Arabidopsis thaliana: one gene and its partners. The protein of the gene in region 1 interacts with the protein of each later gene in a pairwise test. Each region holds a gene or a part of one and is shown on either strand. Other genes may lie near its edges.

Region 1 (2,992 bases):
GATGCCAATATAAAATAATCATGTGCACTAAATTTGAAATAATTAATGTGTATGGTAAACTAGATTAGAATTAGTTCTAGACTTCTAGTGGTCGAGATTTGTTCATAAGCTTTATGCTCGGACACGTGAGGAACATACCAAAATGTTCGAATCTATTATGCCATACACTTATTTTAATCATTTCTTCTCTATGATAGATTGCTCACCTAATTTATATATAATCTAAGAATATACTACTTAGCTTTAACGTATTTTATCCGATAACGAATTCATGATACCAAAAAAGTTCTAAAACAAAAGAGGCATCTTGTATTATTTATAGTATTTCTAACTAAAACACAACACTGATAACATTTAAATTGCTTTGTTCCGTTTAATTAGTAAACAAATGAAAAGCTGTCGCGTCGGTGGTTGGGTTTCATTCGGAAAGATTTAAAAGTAAAGCGCACGGATTTTAAGGTCGTTCAACATTTAAATTTTTTTTGAAAGTAAAATCATATATCAATGCAATGTGTAATCTTGTAACGTATAAACTAATGAGAGATACCTAAAGAAAAGAAGCCTCGCGCCTAAACAGAAACATAAGATTAAAATAAGTAATATAGAAGCATAAACTTAAGCAAGATTTTATTCCTCGTGAAAATATTACATTTTGTAATTTTATTTTCTCTAGTATTAAAAAAGGAACAACTAATTAACGGAAATACTTAAGGAATTAAGAACAGAGAGGTCTCATACTTAGTCAAGTTTGGTGAAGCTATCAAAGAGAATGTCTTCGTGTTGTCCGCCGACGACATAGTCAAGAATCCCTTCCGCCGCCACTTTTAAGCCTGCGCCTTCGCCTGGGATGATGGTAGACGAAACCGGGAGATCGGAGGTGCGTGCGAAGAAGAAAACGGCAGCGAGAAAGAGAGCCGTGGAGAGAAAAAGTGGCCAGAAGTAAGATAGAACGGTGAGGAAACCGGGAGAATAAGCGACGAGAGCTACGGTGAGGAGAGATAAAACAAAGGCAAACACGATTTGCAACTTGAACTTCAAAAGCTTCTCCCGGAACTCCATCTCCGATCACCGACAAAGATCTGTGAGTCTGTGACTGTTGTGTTAACACGAGAAAGATGGAGTGAAGAGAGATAGAGATATATCTAAAAGAGAGATAGTACAATGCTAACTCTCTCTCTGTCTTTCCTCTGAGTGTCTATACGTAAAGAAATAGGAAAGATTCTCTGTGACAAGGATAACGTCAAAATCTCAAGTTATTTTGTTTTTAAACGCGTTTGAAAATTATACTGTTTTTCTTCTAACGAAAATGATAATATATTTTTAAGATTTTTATGTTACTTTGTTCTGTGACTTGTATGAACATTTTTTTTTTTGTAAAGTTGTCGTAAAAGTCAAAGAATGAAACATTTTCTGACATAAATAGTAAATCGTACAAAGCTAAAATAATGATAAGAGAGATATTTTCAATTCAGTTATAATGTTGTCCGTTTTGCATGATTGAATTTTTAACTTTGGATTCAGGCCGACCAAAATATGGGCCTTTAAAAGCCCGATTTGGGTTGCTAACAGACGACTACTCTTTTGTTAGAACTTACACGAGCCGCCGTTTCTACTTTCTAGCTCTGGCAAAACGGCGAGGCATTTTCTTTAAACATATCAACATACAATTAGCAGCATCTCTACAAGTTTACACTTCTCTCATAAAACCCAACTCTACGAATAAAAGAGAAGGTGTTTTCATTTATCCTCTTCGTCTAATTGCATCCAAACTCTCAGCAGAGACAAATACAGCTTGCTTTTAACGTCACAAGGCTCGAACCAGACGAGCTGCAAATGCTCCATCTAGTGAGTGTTTCACTGGGTTTGATAAAAAGAAGCCTTGTGAGGTTACAAAACTCGACGGTACAAAACTGGTTACTGGATCTATGGTGAATTCCTGTGAAAGCAGAGAGACTATTTGTTAATATCAACATCTGAAGGAAAGCAAATGGATTATAAAGATTCTTACAGGATGTCTTAAGAGAAATGCTTCGACCCTTCCTTCATTTTCCTCGGGGTCTATGGAGCAAGTACTGTATACCAACACCCCACCGTGCTTCACCAGTCTTTGAGATTCAATCAAGAGTGTCACAGATAAAAGTATCAGATAAGTCGCATATTAGTGTTTCAGAATTAATCAAATGACTCATCAAAATGTATGTACAGAGTGCATACTTGGAGGCAGAATCAAGAAGCTCATCCTGCAGTTTAGTGAGCTCTAACATGTCCTCAAGTTTACGGTTCCAGCGCAAATCCGCTCTCTACAAAATACAGATTAATGGGAACAGGTTAATCAGATCAGGTCAATTCAACTAGCAATGTTAAATCTTGCTGGCGAAACAGTTAGATAAACTTTTCTCATGTTAACCTTGGAGAGGACGCCGAGTCCAGAACACGGGGCATCAAGCAAAACTTTGTCATATTGTACTTCATTGGTTTCCTAAAACACATTAAGTTGGAAGGAAGCATGTGAGTAGCTTACAAACTTGGAAACTTCAGATACTCAAATAATGTTAACTTACAGCAAAGACACGAAGATCAGAATGAATGGTTGTGATAAGTCCATCAACTTGGTGTGATTTTGCTGTCTCACCAAGAATTCTTAGCCGTCCTTCATTCACATCCATAGCATATATCATACCTATAATCGATTCGAGTTTGCCAGTTTGAGGATGGAATCAGTCAAGTATAGTAGAAAAGTTTCTCAAAATAGATAATTTAATTCAACATTAATGTACAATAGAGGAAAATAAGGGGTCTTTGTAATATTACCTTGGCCTTTCAAGCAAGATGCCATGAATAGGGTCTTTCCTCCAGGAGCAGCACATGCATCCATTATCCTCTCGCCTGGCTGAGGTTTCACCACTGAGACTATTAGTCCTGCAGTACCAGATGTGGGGAGATATTTAGATATCAAAAGAACAAAAGGATTTTGGATAAACTTAAATCTGTT
Region 2 (4,751 bases), on another chromosome or scaffold:
CTCTAAAGCGTATAGGACTGCACCTTCCATTGTGTTTATCGATGAGATTGATGCGATTGGATCAAAGAGGGAAAATCAGCAAAGGGAGATGGAAAAGCGGATTGTAACGCAATTATTGACTTGTATGGATGGACCTGGTAACAATGGTCCTGAGTCTAGTGTTGGATTTGTTCTCGTTATTGGAGCTACAAATGGCCTGATGTTCTTGATCCTGCTTTGAGGAGAAGTGGACGATTTGAATGTGAGATTGCTCTAGGTGTTCCAGATGAAGATGCAAGAGCTGAGATACTTTCTGTTGTAGCCCAAAAACTTAGACTAGAAGGGCCCTTTGACAAGAAAAGAATAGCTCGTTTAACGCCGGGTTTTGTTGGAGCAGATTTGGAGGGTGTTGCTAACATGGCTGGCAGGATTGCCACAAAGAGAATCTTGGATTCAAGAAAATCTCAACTGGCTGGGGACTCTGAAGATGATAGTTCTTGGCTGAGGCATCCCTGGCCAGAAGAAGAGTTGGAAAAACTCTTTGTTAAGATGTCTGATTTCGAGGTATGTTAATTGTAGGCATGGCATGAGTCTACTTTTCTGTACTTCAATAGCTACGAGATTTTAATCCTTGGTTCCTAACTCTGTTGGTTGCTCTGTAATCTACTAGGAAGCAGTGAATCTAGTTCAGGCATCTTTAACAAGGGAAGGATTCTCTATCGTGCCTGATGTCAAGTGGGATGATGTTGGTGGACTTGAGCATCTACGACTTGAATTCAACCGCTATATAGTCAGACCTATCAAAAAGCCTGATATTTACAAGGTAACTAATAAGTCACTTAGAACTGTTATATAGTCAAGATTACTTGCTTTTTCTCTCGAGGTCTGAATGTGCCACTTTGGTTCTTTTTAGGCTTTTGGGGTAGACTTAGAGGTTGGATTTTTACTCTATGGACCACCGGGTTGTGGCAAGACATTGATTGCAAAGGCAGTTGCTAACGAGGCAGGAGCTAATTTCATGCACATCAAGGGTGCAGAGCTTCTAAACAAGTACGTTGGAGAGAGCGAGCTTGCTATTCGGACATTGTTTCAGCGTGCCCGGACATGTTCGCCATGTGTGATCTTCTTTGATGAGGTGGATGCTTTGACAACAAGCCGTGGCAAAGAAGGTGCCTGGGTTGTTGAACGGCTTTTAAACCAGTTCCTTGTTGAGCTAGACGGTGGAGAGAGGCGTAATGTATACGTAATTGGAGCTACAAACAGGCCAGATGTAATTGATCCTGCGTTCTTGAGACCTGGTAGGTTTGGGAATCTTCTATATGTACCCCTCCCTAACGCCGATGAACGTGCTTCAATTCTAAAAGCTATTGCAAGGAAGAAGCCCATAGATCCTAGTGTTGATCTTGATAGCATTGCAAAGATGAATTGTGAAGGTTTCAGCGGAGCTGATCTCGCTCACTTGGTGCAAAAAGCTACATTCCAGGCAGTGGAGGAGATCACCACAATTTCATGTGAAGATGATGACGATATTACAGATACAAGTCAGTGTACGATTAAGATGACTCATTTCGAGCAAGCATTGTCCTTAGTCTCACCTTCTGTGAACAAACAGCAAAGAAGACACTATGAGGAACTATCAAAAAAGCTCCAAGAAAGCATTGGAAGGAAACCATAGGGTCATTCTTTTTGCCTTGCACTAAAACCTCTCTTACTTATATTATGTCTGCAAATTCCCATTCTTCTGAGTACTTGTAACAATTATATTATTGAGATAAGATAAATACGAAAGAAGGTTTTGTTACTCTTTTTTGGGGGACATTTTGTAAAGCAGATAATGGTAGAAACTAGAAAGAAAAAGAATAATGCAAAAACTACGTCGTTTAGTTTAAATTATAAGACACGTGGTCTTCTCTTTCGTCGTCTCCATTATTTACAGGAGTGCGATAATATTCTTTGAAGCTTTAACATTGTTGCGAAGACCAGACTCTCAGACTCAGACTCGGGAGGTATTGGATTCTATCTGATCTGCTCGATTTTTTCTCTATTTTCTTGCTCTCTACATTATAGCTGATCGATTTCTCATCTTGTTGTTGTTGTCCCTGCTTGATTGGTAGATCTCGAGGGGGTTTAAGCTCTGCATTTGATTTAAGTTCTGAGTTTTCGATAATCTGATCGAATCTGGAAATCATAGTATTAGATTCTACAGAAATCAAGTTCGATCCTTAACCAAGAGATTCTGTAGTCTTTCAAGGTCGAATTATAGAAGGATTTTTATTGATATGTGAGAATTTCTTTCACTGGAATAAACACTTGCTTTAGGATTCTTAACGGAAGCATCATATGAAGATCTTCACATTTGTAGTTTTTTTTTATAGTCTCTGATTCATAGTTTCCATTTGCAGCTCCTTTAAGCGATTTCTTTCTTTGTTTTTTGAGGCTTGCATTGTTATTATCACGCAGTGATTTCACTTCAACTTTCTGCTCAGATGGCAGTCCACTACTGGACAGCCCTGTTTCTATTGTTGCCATGCCTTTTCTGTATTTCAAATGCTAGTGCTGGCGATGCTGATCCAGATTACAGGTAATCTTAGAATTTCGGTAATCTTTGAGTATCTATCGTGAACTTGGTTTTGTTGTAGCTTATATGTAAGCAACATTTTTGATTCGTGGAGATTATGAATGTCTGGCAATTTTGTGTCAGGACATGTGTTTCAGAATGTGAGATAAGCGGTTGTGTTGGACAACTTTGCTTTCCTCAGTGCAATTCTTCATCCGATGGTGGTCCATGGTACATCCAAGAACCTTTGTATTTACAATGGAAAAAATGGGGTTGTCAAGGTGATTGCCGTTATCAATGTATGGTTAATAGAGAGACTGAACGGGAAACTCTCGGTCAAGCCCCAGTCAAGTACCATGGTAAATGGCCCTTCAAGCGTGTACTTGGGATTCAGGTTAGTTTTTTTCTTCAATCGCTTTTTTTTATTCTGGTTGTTTCCATATAATATGAGTTTTGACTTACCTTGTTCTTTGCCAGGAGCCTGCTTCTGTTGCTTTCTCTGTACTCAACCTAGCAATGCATTTCCATGGTTGGCTTTCCTTTTTCATCATGATCTACTATAAGTTGCCTCTGAAACAAGATAGGACAGCGTACTATGAATACGTTGGTTTGTGGCATATCTACGGTCTCCTGTCCATGAACTCTTGGTTCTGGAGTGCTGTTTTCCACAGCCGGTAAATCATCTACACATTACTCTATTATCCACAATCTGCATCATATATTCATATGTGATTTTCTGGTAATCCGTCTCTGTGGTTCTCAGGGATGTTGACCTTACAGAGAGGTTGGACTACTCATCCGCAGTAGCGATTCTCGGATTCTCACTCATCTTAGCCATTTTACGAACATTTGATATTCGGGTTGAGGCTGCAAGGGTCATGGTATCCGCTCCAATACTAGCTTTTGTAACCACCCACATACTCTACATAAACTTCTACAAACTCGACTATGGTACCCTCAATAACTTTCCGTTGTCTAAAAATCGAGTCAATATTTTTGGTGAATTCATCAGTTGAATGTCGTTTACAGGCTGGAACATGATTGTGTGTGTGGCAATGGGAGTCTCACAGCTTTTCCTATGGGCAAGATGGGCCGCTGTCTCAAGCCACCCTTCTAATTGGAAACTTTGGGTGGTTGTGATAGCTGGAGGATTAGCCATGCTTCTAGAGATATATGATTTTCCTCCATATGAAGGCTACTTCGATGCTCACTCGATCTGGCACGCTGCCACAATTCCCTTAACCATTCTCTGGTGGAGCTTCATTAGAGACGATGCTGAGTTCAGAACTTCCAGCCTCCTCAAGAAAACTAAGACGAAGGCAAAGTGAGTCTCTTTGCTAAGTTTTACAAGGATTTTTATCCGACCATACGAGTATGCAGACACGAGGGAAAAACAAAAGATGGAAATGGATTTAAACATCACGAAGAAGGCAGAGTCTTTTGTTTAAAGCTAGCTGGTTTATGGATTCACAGGTTTCTTCAGTTTTTTTTATTTTATATTGTTACATTAACTGTTGAATTTGCTTTGAGCCTTTCAGTGTTTTTCTTTGGCCTTACTTTTGGTTAAGAAAGATTTTGATATCATTTACTCATTCATACACAGACTCATGCGAAACCATTTTGAATTCAGATTCTGTCAATATTTTCGAGACAATCTTGTAATCTATAGGATTTTGTATAAAAATTTGGATCTACAAAAGCAGTTGTGTGAGAAACTCTCAAGCCCATCGATTTTGAGTCTTCTCTTTCATGAATCTGCAATTTGAGACACGACCTGCATAGACCAGACATAAAGACATCTTATGAGAAATAGCCCAATAAAAAAGTATGTGTGCGGGATACAGAGAGGGCCGACGGATTTTGCCTGAGTGATTAAAGGTTTTGCACAATCTTCCCACTCTGTAGCCCATCGACCCGAAGAACCAGTCTCCATTGCACCCGCTTTAAGCGACATTAGTGCATCACAGTTCCCTGGAAAACCCTTGAAGAGAATCTGTTCACAAAGACAAAACACAAGAACATTACTGCTGTCTTCTGCTGTAGACTTGGTGAAATAGTCTTTTAAAAAGAAAGACGAGTTACTTACCAATAATTGATCTGCTAATTCTGATGAAGATGAAAACAAAAGTCCGTTCTTCCCATCTTTAACGAGTTCTTGAATGCTTCACGAAAGTTGAAGGTTTTAAAGTTATAGTATTTGTTCGTGAAAGTAATG
Region 3 (2,869 bases), on another chromosome or scaffold:
CCCAACTTTTGGTGTGTTCTATTAATATTCTTCATTGCTTTAGGTCTGAATCATAGTGTTAAGTGAAATAAACATTGAGGGAAATGGGTTAAGTAAATGTACTGAGATAGCTTGCCATCTAAGCAAGCAACAGAAAAATTGGGCTAATCAAAGTCCGGTCCCGGAAACAATAGAAGACAGGCCTTCTAGGCCAACTTAGTCACGTGATCCATTAACCGTACGATAAGGGGGCGAGTCAGAGTAATAATATCCCACAATGATCAGGTGTGTTGTGTTGCACCATACCTTGCGTGTTCTTGAGATGAAAATATCTAAAGAGTGGGGGCAAGGTAAGGTAATTTTACGAGATGTCGGCATGTAAGCTGAAGCCGTACGATTTATATACCAAACAAATAAACGGTGCAGATCTCGTAGTTGACTTGGTAGCGCCAAAAATAAAAAGCCGTGGATTGCTCTTTTAATTGGATCTCTGTGCTACCGACTACTTTCAGTGTTCTCTTCTTCTCCACTAATTCAGATCACATTCAAGAATCTTCTTCACTCACATCTCTGAAAAAATGGCGAGCAACATGGAAGTTTTCTGCGAGATCTTAATCGCGATCCTTCTTCCACCTCTTGGAGTTTGTCTCAAACGTGGCTGTTGCACTGTAAGTTATTGGAATTTTGGAATCATGAATCTTGAGATTTAGTTTAGAAAATCTGACTCTTAGTTTTTTTGCAGGTAGAGTTCTTGATTTGCTTGGTGCTGACAATCTTAGGATACATCCCAGGGATAATTTATGCACTATACGTGATCGTGTTTCAAAACCGTGAAGGCTCTACCGAACTTGGAGCTCCACTTAACTCAGCTTGATCTGTTTTGGTCCATTACACGGATCAATATGTTGTTGAAACTGTTTTACTTATCATGTACCAAATAATAAGTTGCTTTGCAATTTTTATGTATTGAAGATTTGAGAACATTGTCGCGTTATTGATACATTGCTTATCTTTTTGATGTATAACTTGTTGGCTTTTGCAAAGTCAGGCTACGGACCTTCCTAAGAGTTAATGTATCAAATTCTTTGCCAAGATTGTATTTACCGGAGTTTAAACTTCGCAAAATGCGGAAGCATTTTTGAGTTTGAAAGGATTTTGTATGATGCCAACATATATTATGGTATAGATTATGCTAAAAAAGATAGATTTCTGTTACTTTGGCAAATAATGACAATGATTGTGAGTTGAGGAATCAAAGTCTCAGTAATACGACACCGTTTGAGTCAAAACGTTTCTGTCCAATTCCAGTCTGGTCCCGGGATTAATAAAATAGACAGGCCTTCCCAGGCCCATTTAGTCACATGGATGAGTCAGAGACTAAAATATCTAAAAGTGATCTGATGTGATAAGGGTGCACCATATCGTTCGTTGTGATTCACGAGATGTAATCTAAAGCCGTACGATTTAAATATCAATAAATGAACGGTGCAGATCTCGCACATTGACTTTGTAGTGGAAACAAAATAAAACGTGGACTGATCTCTCTTCATTGGTACTCTCAACTCTGTGACAGCAAGTTTCAGTGTTTTGTCTTTTAAAAAAACTCTTAAAGCTTCTTCTTCTCTCATCTCATCTCTCTGAAAAAATGCCGAGCAACTGTGAGATTCTGTGCGAGATCATTATCGCGATCCTTCTTCCTCCTCTCGGAGTTTGCTTCAGGAAAGGATGCTGCACTGTAAGTTCTCTCTCTCTCTCTTTCGAATTCCTCAATTTTGAAGAATCCTGGAACTTCTTATAGAGACTGTAATTTTGGATTGATTATAATGTAATTTGGTATGAGTAATGAAGGGAGTGCTTAATCTATGATATGAATCGCAGAAATTCTCTGGATTGGATCAATTTATGTTTGATTCATTGATTCCTGAAAGCTTGGATAATCATTTGAAGAAAGTTGAATTTTTTTTATGTGTGGTTTGTTTTGGCAGGTGGAGTTTTTGATATGCCTGGTGTTGACGATCTTAGGCTATGTCCCGGGGATAATATATGCGATTTACGTGATTGTGTTTCAGCACCGTGAAGAGTACTTTGATGAATACAGACGCCCCATCTACTCTGCTTGATTTCTGTTTCTTTGGAACTGTGTTGCTTTGACTTGTACCAATAAAGTTGCTTTGCAGTTGTTTTCAGAGATTTGAAAACGTTTGTGTGTCATTTATATGCAATATTGAAAGTTTCTTCTGTTATCAGCTTATGAACCCTCCTGCTATGTGTGCTTATGCATCAGGTTGTTGACATAGTGTTTTCGCAAGGCACAAATTAAATTATTAAATTGAAAGGTTAAAAAAAAAAAGAGTTTAATTAGAAGGCGAAGAACATCAACAGAATTGAGCTCGCGACCGTGGAACCGTAGCGCAATGCCATCGAGAGACAAGGTCGACTAGTAGCGGATGATCCACCCGCACCATGACCACTACTGGGGACACGACGGTGGCTACGACCACCACCACGACTACCACCACCAACACCACCAAAACGAGCTTTCCTCATGAAAACTCGAAGAGAGTCATGATGATCCAACGGATTGGAGTCACCGTGTTGTGCAAGTCTTCGTTCACTCTCCTTATTTTCAGATGAAATTGGCAAAGGCTGAGAGAGTAACAATAGGAGTACAATCAATGAACAAGAAAATGCCAGTGAAGTCCTCATTTCTGTTTTATCAAATAATATGTGTGTATATACATGTATCTGATCGAAAAAAATCAGAAATATGTGTTAATTTTACAATGATGGGACGCATTATGTGTGCAAAAGAATTAGTATTTATAATATCGCTAGGCTTAGGTAACGAAACGACCATGGCTTAAACATGGGCTACTTCTTCTTTGAAATG
Region 4 (7,669 bases), on another chromosome or scaffold:
GAGATATCACGTTTTCGAAATATATAGTTTTCTAAATATACTAGCTACTTCATATTAAACAGCAATATTAGGACTTAACAGTTTAGATTAATTAATCGCATGTTTATTGTTCATCATTAATTACCCTAGTTACCCAATACTAGAAATCAATCTCTTCTTTAATATATGTCCGAAAAATATTACATTTGCAATTTTAGAGATAAAATACACATGTACGTAGGCCAAGTTTTACATCTCGTAAATATACATCATAAAAATGGGGCTAATTACCCAGAAAAATAAAGTAGTAATTACATAATGAAAAAAAAAAATCCTTGTTTGTAAATAAACAAATATAACACCATAAACTGAATTTGATCATTTTTATAATAAAATAAAATAATTCAAATTAAGTTTGATTTCTTTCATCGGGCTGATGAATAAGTGAAACTTGTATTTCTTCGAGTGATAATCCTTTCGTTTCTGGAACGAGCAACCATATAAAAAGCAACGCTGCTCCACCGATACCCGCGAATATGAAAAACGTTCCTATTACATTAATTAAACTATATAAGAAAATTATAAATTAAATGCAATTATAATATATATATATATATATATAGACATTAGGAGAAAATAAAATAAATACAAACTATATAACATATTCACTCAACCAAAAATTTAACTAATTAGTCTTTTAAAATAAAATAAACAAATAGTTGTGTTATAAAATGTATATGAGGTTTCATTGAAATGCTATAAACACAGACTTTGAAAACTATATAAGTTTTCTAGACTTAATCATTGATTATTTCTATGCGATATACAAAAAAAAAGGATAAGTTATAACTTTTTTTGTTGATCACAAGATAATTTATATAACCAAAATTGTATAAAATGGATATTAAGAAAAAGAAAAACATAATACCTTGAGTGCTCCATTCGAACAGAAAGTTGAAAGCGTAAGTGACGATTGAACTACTTGAAAATGAGACTAACGTAACTATACTTCCTGCAGTTACTTTTATATTTATTGGAAATATCTGCACACACCAAAAATCATACATATATTACTTTATTTTTCAAGACATATTACTTACTTCCTGCATAGAAATAAAATTAACAGTGAAGTAAATTTATGTACCTCCGACATAATTACCCAAGGTAGACCTCCCAAGCCTATTGCATAAGTTGCAATATACATCTGCCGATTTAAAAAATATCAATTTTAACTATATTTTATATGTAAAAGAAACATCAACGTAAATATTTTCATCAAAAAGATTGTGTACAAGGAGATATAATGTCTTACCATTACGCATATAAACGATAATATTGGAGTTAGTTCCGAAAGCAATTGCATTTTCTGCTCATGCAAAAACATTGTTAAACAAATAAGTTATTGGTTTAAAAACAGAATAAATAAAAATAGTAATTATCTTACAAAAAAAATAACCTGTAATGTGAAGGCGACCCCAAGTAGCATGCAAGTCATGCTCATCCCAAACGCTGAAGTCTATGTCAAAATAGTAATCAAATCAATATAGACTAATAGATTTGAATCTGCGAACAGCCAGAAATTATTTAAAGACATGCTCACCATCAGGAGAGGACGTCTGCCCCATTTATCGACAAGAATGAGGCCAATCATGGCTTTTGGAATCTGCGAATAGCCAGATATTATACCATTCAATGCTTTCACGAGTTAAAAGAAAAAAAACTAGTACATGAAAATTCTTAGTTCAAAGAGTTCATTAAAGTACGAAATTTTAACAAAATAAAAAATGTCGTTTTTTCAACTGTGATAAAATGTCGATTAAAACGCCAACATCACACAAGTTTTGTTTTTTTTTGAATATTTGGAAGTTGAAACCCAAAAATTCTATATCTCCTAGAAACGCGACCTATACCAGGTTAAATAACATCACACAAGTTTAGTTGCTCAATAACAACAGATTTCAGAGACGTAGTTTCATTTCTTAAATTTTGCATCCATATAGTCAAACAAAATTTGAGAAAAACATTTATATATACTTACCACGAAGATACCTAGCATCGTCGTTCCAATGGCCACCGAAAAACCTGTTTCCATCCAGAACAATTATTGAGCAAAAAAAAATGGAAAGAGGAACTCATGGTAAATATTTACTAAAACCCTTTCTCTTAAAGTATTTAGAATGAGCTAATGGCATCATTTTACAAAATAAATACACAATTTAATTTTATTTTGAGAAATCTTAGGAGTTCAGGACCTTTGCCCATAATCTATTGATTGGTAGAATAAAATATGTTTTGTTAGAAAAAAAAACATTCTCAGAGAAACTGAAACTTCTATGCAAATCTTCACTTGCAGATTTGAACAGATTGTCATATAATATATATATAGTTATTATTATTTCTGACATTTTAATATAAAATTAAACATTAATAAAAATAAATGAATGCTTACCAGCTTTTCTAAAAATGGTACTTGCATAAGAGATTACAGCAGCACTTCCTGAGAATTGTTGTATCAACATTAGCCCGATTCCTACCTGAGATATTAATTAAAAATGAATGCTTGTGCAGATAAATTAAATATGAAAATTTGATACTCTAGAAATTAGTTTGATGTACTTGTACGTACCACGAGGGTGTATCTATACTTTCTCTGGAACAAATCTGAAAAACTCGACTTTGAATCATTTTCCACCATTTTGGTCATTACCTGAAAACAACACAGAATTATTCAGACTTTACATTTTTTTATTTGTGAAGGAATGAAAATATAATTTCAAAGAAAAAGGGAATGTATATTTATTGAAAATTATATAAATTATAACTGATAATAGTATATAGTAAAACTCACTTGAATTTCTGAGGCTTCACGTGAAATATCAGCATCTCTTCCTCTAAGCCGAAACAGTGAATTTTCTAGTTCTTTATCGGAGCCAACTTTGGCCTTCAAAATGAAAATAGTTTGGTTTAAATTTTTTTCTTCTCATGGTTGATAATAATTAATAAATTACGTAAAACACTAAAGAAAAATTAAATGACCAACCAGCCATCTTGGAGACTCTGGCACGAAGAATAAACCGATTACTTGAATGAAGCATGGTAAAGCACCTAAACCAAAAACGTATTACATTTTTATCAGTTGATTTGCTATAATATAACAGCTGAAGATTTCCAGTTTTTTTCTACTATACATTTAACATATTCTTACGTCTCAAAACAATTTTTTCACGATGAATATGGAATTTATAGTCTTACCTAATAAAGCCAACGTCCTCCAAGTGATGAAATTCCCACAGAAATAAATCATGGCGAGTCCAGCGTTTTGAAGAAGCTAATAATCAATAATTACACAAGAATGAAACAAGGATCAATATACTCACGAGAAATTTTGAAAAGTTTTAATTTGGATTTTGGTTGGTTTGTCTTAGACTAGTTTGTGCTATTTTTTTTTTTTGTCAGCACTCATTCTTATAAATATTCTAAAAACCTAAAGTATTACCTGGTTTGAAAACGTAAATGTACCACGAACATGTTTTGGCGTAATTTCTGCTATGTAGACAGGTACCTGCTTGGTAAATAAGCAAAAATTACAGATCAGAAAACAAACTTACAAAGATGATATTAAATAATAATAATAATAAGTTAATTACCACATAGCTCGTCAAGCCGAAACCTATCCCTGAAATGATTCTTCCGAAGTTCAGCAACACTACTTCCTATTGTATTCCAAAACATAACATAAATTTAATTATTGGGTTTATAATAACCATAAATTAATTGGTTTGTTTATTTTCTAAGAAATAATGTTTGAATGAAAAAAAAAACATGTTTATGAATAGAAAATAACTAGTAGTACCTTAGCAAAAGCGATGGAGAGCCAACCAGTGATGCATAGGAAATCGGAGACCCACATTGTCTATTATATCATAAATAGCAAAAATATTATTATAAGCATCATATATACGAAAATTATAGTCACGAAAGAACCAAAAAAATAGAAGAATGGTAAAATTACGAATATGAAAGGTGAAATGGTTAAATTAATTACCCCTCTTCTGCCAATGACCATTGCCAGATTACCGCAGAACAGTGCACCAATTGCAGCTCCTAAAGTGGCGAATGAGCCAAAAGCTGAAAACTGAGAAAAAAATGATTTATAACAAATATAGTTTTCATATATATAGTATTATTATTATTATTTTTAATATATATATATATATATATATATATATAATATTTCAATATTTCAAATTTCTATTATTGTAGATGAGAGAATTGGCCGGAGAATGGTTCTGGAACGATGGAAACGTTGATAGCTAGATAATGTTTTTATAAGATGATTTTGACAACCGCTCAATATATCAGGATATATGTGCATATATATAGTTTTGGTAGGGTTATTATTATGATAAATAATGTTTTTTTTTGGATGATTTCGACAATTCCATATATATCAGGATAATATATATATATAGTTTTGGTAGGGTTATGATAAGAGTTTAAAAAATGGGTAAAAAAGGAGGTGAACCACACCAACAAAGAAGTATAATCAACTCAATGGGATAACGACAATCTATATGTTTCTTCTTTAGAATTGATGGTTGTTTGTTTCAATTTGAATGAATAAAGAAACAAATATTTACGGATTTAAAAATGATGTGAAGCTTGTATTTTGATAAAAATTGAACGATAATTAACCTAGCTATTTTTTGCATATGTCAATATGTCACTCGCTCTCAGTTGCTTAATTATACACAAAACTTTGTTTGTTTGTTTAAGGATGATAGTATAAAAGAATTAACTTTGAATGGATGTGGTTTTTAAACTAGTTTTTGGTTTTAGTTTTTTCTAAAATCTATTTTGTAACCATTCAAAATTTTGAAAAAACAAGTTTTCTTAAAAAAATAGGGAATCTAGTTTTTGAGTGTTTTAACAACTTTTCAAAGAAAATCAAAATCTATGTTTTGAGAGTTTCTCTATAAAAAAACCATCGATCACATTTTTTATTTTATTTTTAGATTTTTTTTGTAAAATAAAATATAATCCATTAACATAAAAACCAAAATCTAAACAAATTACCATTCAAGTTTTTAAGAAACTAAAATCTACACCAAAAACAAAAACCAAGAAAATCAAAAACTAAAAACCAAAATCCAAAAACCATTTTAAAAACTACAAACATTCATGGCCTTAGTCTTTTTTTTTTGATAAAATTTGCTACTTGGTTAATTTTCAATACATGTTTTTAGAAATAGAAGAAAAACCGTAAAAGAGAGACATACTTGCGCGATAGAAAGATCCAAGTCCTTCATAACTCCTGTCTCAGCACCTGAAGTGTAACCAGTCTGTATAAAAACAACAAAAACTATAAGAAAATAGGTATAACGTAATTATGAAGTATGTTTTCTTTTCATACAATTTTGTTGTTTTCATTTGTTCTTCTATAGAAGAAGAAAAAATCAAAGTAAGGTAAAGTAGAAAACTCACAGCAACACCAAAAGAGAAGGAGCCACAAACGGCGACAAAAGTGCTAAGGATAACACAAGCAGTAATACGACACTCTGAATCGTCGTTTTTGTTCTTGAGCTGCAAAAGCCCTTCTTCTATGCTTCTTCCTTCCTCCATCACCATCCCTTACACTTGCATGTACTAATATGACGAAACTTATGGTAAAGAAACAGTGAGAGCTAGAGAGAAAATGCTCTGTTTTTAGCAAAAAACCAAGAGAGCTAGAGAAAGAAGAGAAAGAGAGCGAATGATGTGTTTGTCAATTTAGACTACGTATAAAAAGAGGCTGGGAATTAAAAATGGTTATTTTGGTTTTCTACTCTTTAGGGGTTTTGGATTGGAAAAGCTAACGTGTGGACGTGAGACGTTTTTTTAAACAAGATCAAGTCAAATTTCATTAAACCAAGTTTTGTTGTTTTAAATTATAAAAATACAGCTAAGTATTAGTATATGATCATTCATCATCTGGATTCTAAAATAGTTTGACGTATACAAAATGCTAAACACTTTGAAAAAATATCCTTTAACCAGCAAATGGTGAAGACTTCTAATTAAGGGTTGGATTGGAAAGCTAACGTGGACGCGTAAGACCTTTTTTGTAAGACTTTGGGTTTTATTGGTAACCAAAAGCTGTACAAAATTTTTATTTGTTAGCTTTATCGGAATAGTACAAAGCTGTTAAAAGGAACTGTATAAAAAAAGCTGAGAGTAAAACACTTTTTGTAACGTTTTTGATAAAAAAATTGTGATTGGTAACTGTCAAAACGGTACAAAACTGTATTGTTATTAAAATGGTTACCATTCAAACCCTTTATATCATTTTAAGTCAAATTTCATTCAACTAAGTTTTCTTCTTGAAAAAATAAATACAAGTACTATTTAAATTATTATTATATGATCATTTGTCATGAGCGTATTCTTAAATAGTTTGACGAATTAAAAATACTGTAGTATGAAAAAAATATTGACATATTCTTTAAAATACCAAAGTTTTTTTTATAACAAATTATAAACAACGATTAATCGTCTATAGCGAATGATCCTAGTTATATGTCAATGTGGAGAAAGCTCTTTTCACATATAATTGGAAGCAATAATCTGAGTCAGGACATATACGTTACCTTGGATCAACAAAAATCGACAGTTACTCTTTTTTTCTCTCTGAAAGATTATTCTCAACTTGTAAAAGTGACGTCTTCTCTTGTTGATTGGTCCCTTATCTCAACGTATCTAGATGGATTCACGATAAGTATTATTTTGAATTCCATGCAATTTAAATTATATTAATGTGTATATATTGCTGGTTTGGATTATGGAATATTTTAACTTAAATTCATATCTTTGAGTAAAAAAAATATCTCTCCAAGACTATAACATTATAAGTTTGAATGGTAACACAATACAGCTTTGTACAGTATTGATAGTTATCAATCACAAAAACTTTATCAAAAACGTTACAAAAAGTTTTCTTCTTAGATTTTTTGTACAGTTTTTTTATACAGCTCTTTTAACAGTTTTGCACTATTTCGATAAAGTTAACAGCTAAAAAACTTGTACAACTTTTGGTTATCAATCAGATCCTATATTCGGGTGTTTTAAGAAGTTTTCACTCGTAACCAAAAGAAAATTGGATGACGATGGAACTCCATATTTGATGTAGAAAAAACAATCATTTATAGTCATTCATAATCATTGGATGAAAACCGTACGTTTCAACCTTTTTGTTTCTTTTTTTACATTAACTTGTTTAAATACCTCACAAGTTATTAGAACCTTTTAGTCATTCTTTGATTGAGTTTGCTAATACTTTTAATTAAATGTTTAATTAATCATAATTTAACGTTTTTGTCCTCCGTTGTTATTATTCTTACGTGAGGATCTATATTTGTACCTGTTACCATCTAGAAATGGAACCAAGTATTTAATTTTATTCATCAGTCTGCTGCTGAATTTTAAATATTAGGAGATTATAAAAAAAGAAAGGTCAACTAAAGAATTCGTAACGCGTACGGATCAACTATAATATCAATAAATGCTATTTTTGACAAATTATCAAATCTACAAATATTTTTAAACGCTTAATGACATATCTGTCCAAATAAACCATACAGAAGGAGAAATGATTAATGGAACTATATAACTAACGATAGTACTAATTTAAGTGTTGTCTAAAATTTTGTATAAA

The links.
Region 2: the proteins of AT3G13175 (region 1) and AT1G16560 interact in a protein complementation assay, tested with the Arabidopsis thaliana proteins (one large-scale study listed by BioGRID).
Region 3: the proteins of AT3G13175 (region 1) and AT4G30660 interact in a protein complementation assay, tested with the Arabidopsis thaliana proteins (one large-scale study listed by BioGRID).
Region 4: the proteins of AT3G13175 (region 1) and SFP1 interact in a protein complementation assay, tested with the Arabidopsis thaliana proteins (one large-scale study listed by BioGRID).

Annotation. Positions count from the first base shown.
Region 1 is NC_003074.8:4,234,522-4,237,513, forward strand, and holds AT3G13175 (uncharacterized protein), read right to left. Parts: upstream 1,294-2,992; 5' UTR 1,060-1,293; coding exon 739-1,059; 3' UTR 554-738; downstream 1-553. Other genes in the region: AT3G13180 (NOL1/NOP2/sun family protein / antitermination NusB domain-containing protein), read right to left, coding at 1,805-1,936, 2,009-2,105, 2,215-2,300, 2,408-2,479, 2,562-2,680, 2,812-2,919.
Region 2 is NC_003070.9:5,666,480-5,671,230, forward strand, and holds AT1G16560 (Per1-like family protein), read left to right. Parts: upstream 1-1,904; 5' UTR 1,905-1,985; exon of another isoform or gene 1,986-2,439; 5' UTR 2,440-2,465; coding exon 2,466-2,560; intron 2,561-2,680; coding exon 2,681-2,930; coding exon of another isoform or gene 2,931-2,934; intron 2,935-3,013; coding exon 3,014-3,210; intron 3,211-3,299; coding exon 3,300-3,487; intron 3,488-3,565; coding exon 3,566-3,864; 3' UTR 3,865-4,229; downstream 4,230-4,751. Other genes in the region: AT1G16570 (UDP-Glycosyltransferase superfamily protein), read right to left, coding at 4,284-4,310, 4,401-4,698.
Region 3 is NC_003075.7:14,953,846-14,956,714, forward strand, and holds AT4G30660 (Low temperature and salt responsive protein family), read left to right. Parts: upstream 1-1,533; 5' UTR 1,534-1,624; coding exon 1,625-1,714; exon of another isoform or gene 1,715-1,964; coding exon 1,965-2,099; 3' UTR 2,100-2,155; exon of another isoform or gene 2,156-2,315; 3' UTR 2,316-2,326; downstream 2,327-2,869. Other genes in the region: AT4G30650 (Low temperature and salt responsive protein family), read left to right, coding at 558-647, 722-853; AT4G30662 (uncharacterized protein), read right to left, coding at 2,338-2,685.
Region 4 is NC_003076.8:9,646,896-9,654,564, reverse strand, and holds SFP1 (Major facilitator superfamily protein), read right to left. Parts: upstream 6,058-7,669; 5' UTR 5,608-6,057; coding exon 5,464-5,607; intron 5,322-5,463; coding exon 5,259-5,321; intron 4,115-5,258; coding exon 4,025-4,114; intron 3,893-4,024; coding exon 3,833-3,892; intron 3,693-3,832; coding exon 3,627-3,692; intron 3,542-3,626; coding exon 3,476-3,541; intron 3,308-3,475; coding exon 3,232-3,307; intron 3,085-3,231; coding exon 3,020-3,084; intron 2,921-3,019; coding exon 2,828-2,920; intron 2,687-2,827; coding exon 2,606-2,686; intron 2,514-2,605; coding exon 2,429-2,513; intron 2,062-2,428; coding exon 2,018-2,061; intron 1,643-2,017; coding exon 1,580-1,642; intron 1,496-1,579; coding exon 1,436-1,495; intron 1,346-1,435; coding exon 1,292-1,345; intron 1,184-1,291; coding exon 1,124-1,183; intron 1,023-1,123; coding exon 908-1,022; intron 529-907; coding exon 389-528; 3' UTR 139-388; downstream 1-138. UniProt on the Arabidopsis thaliana protein: Sugar transporter.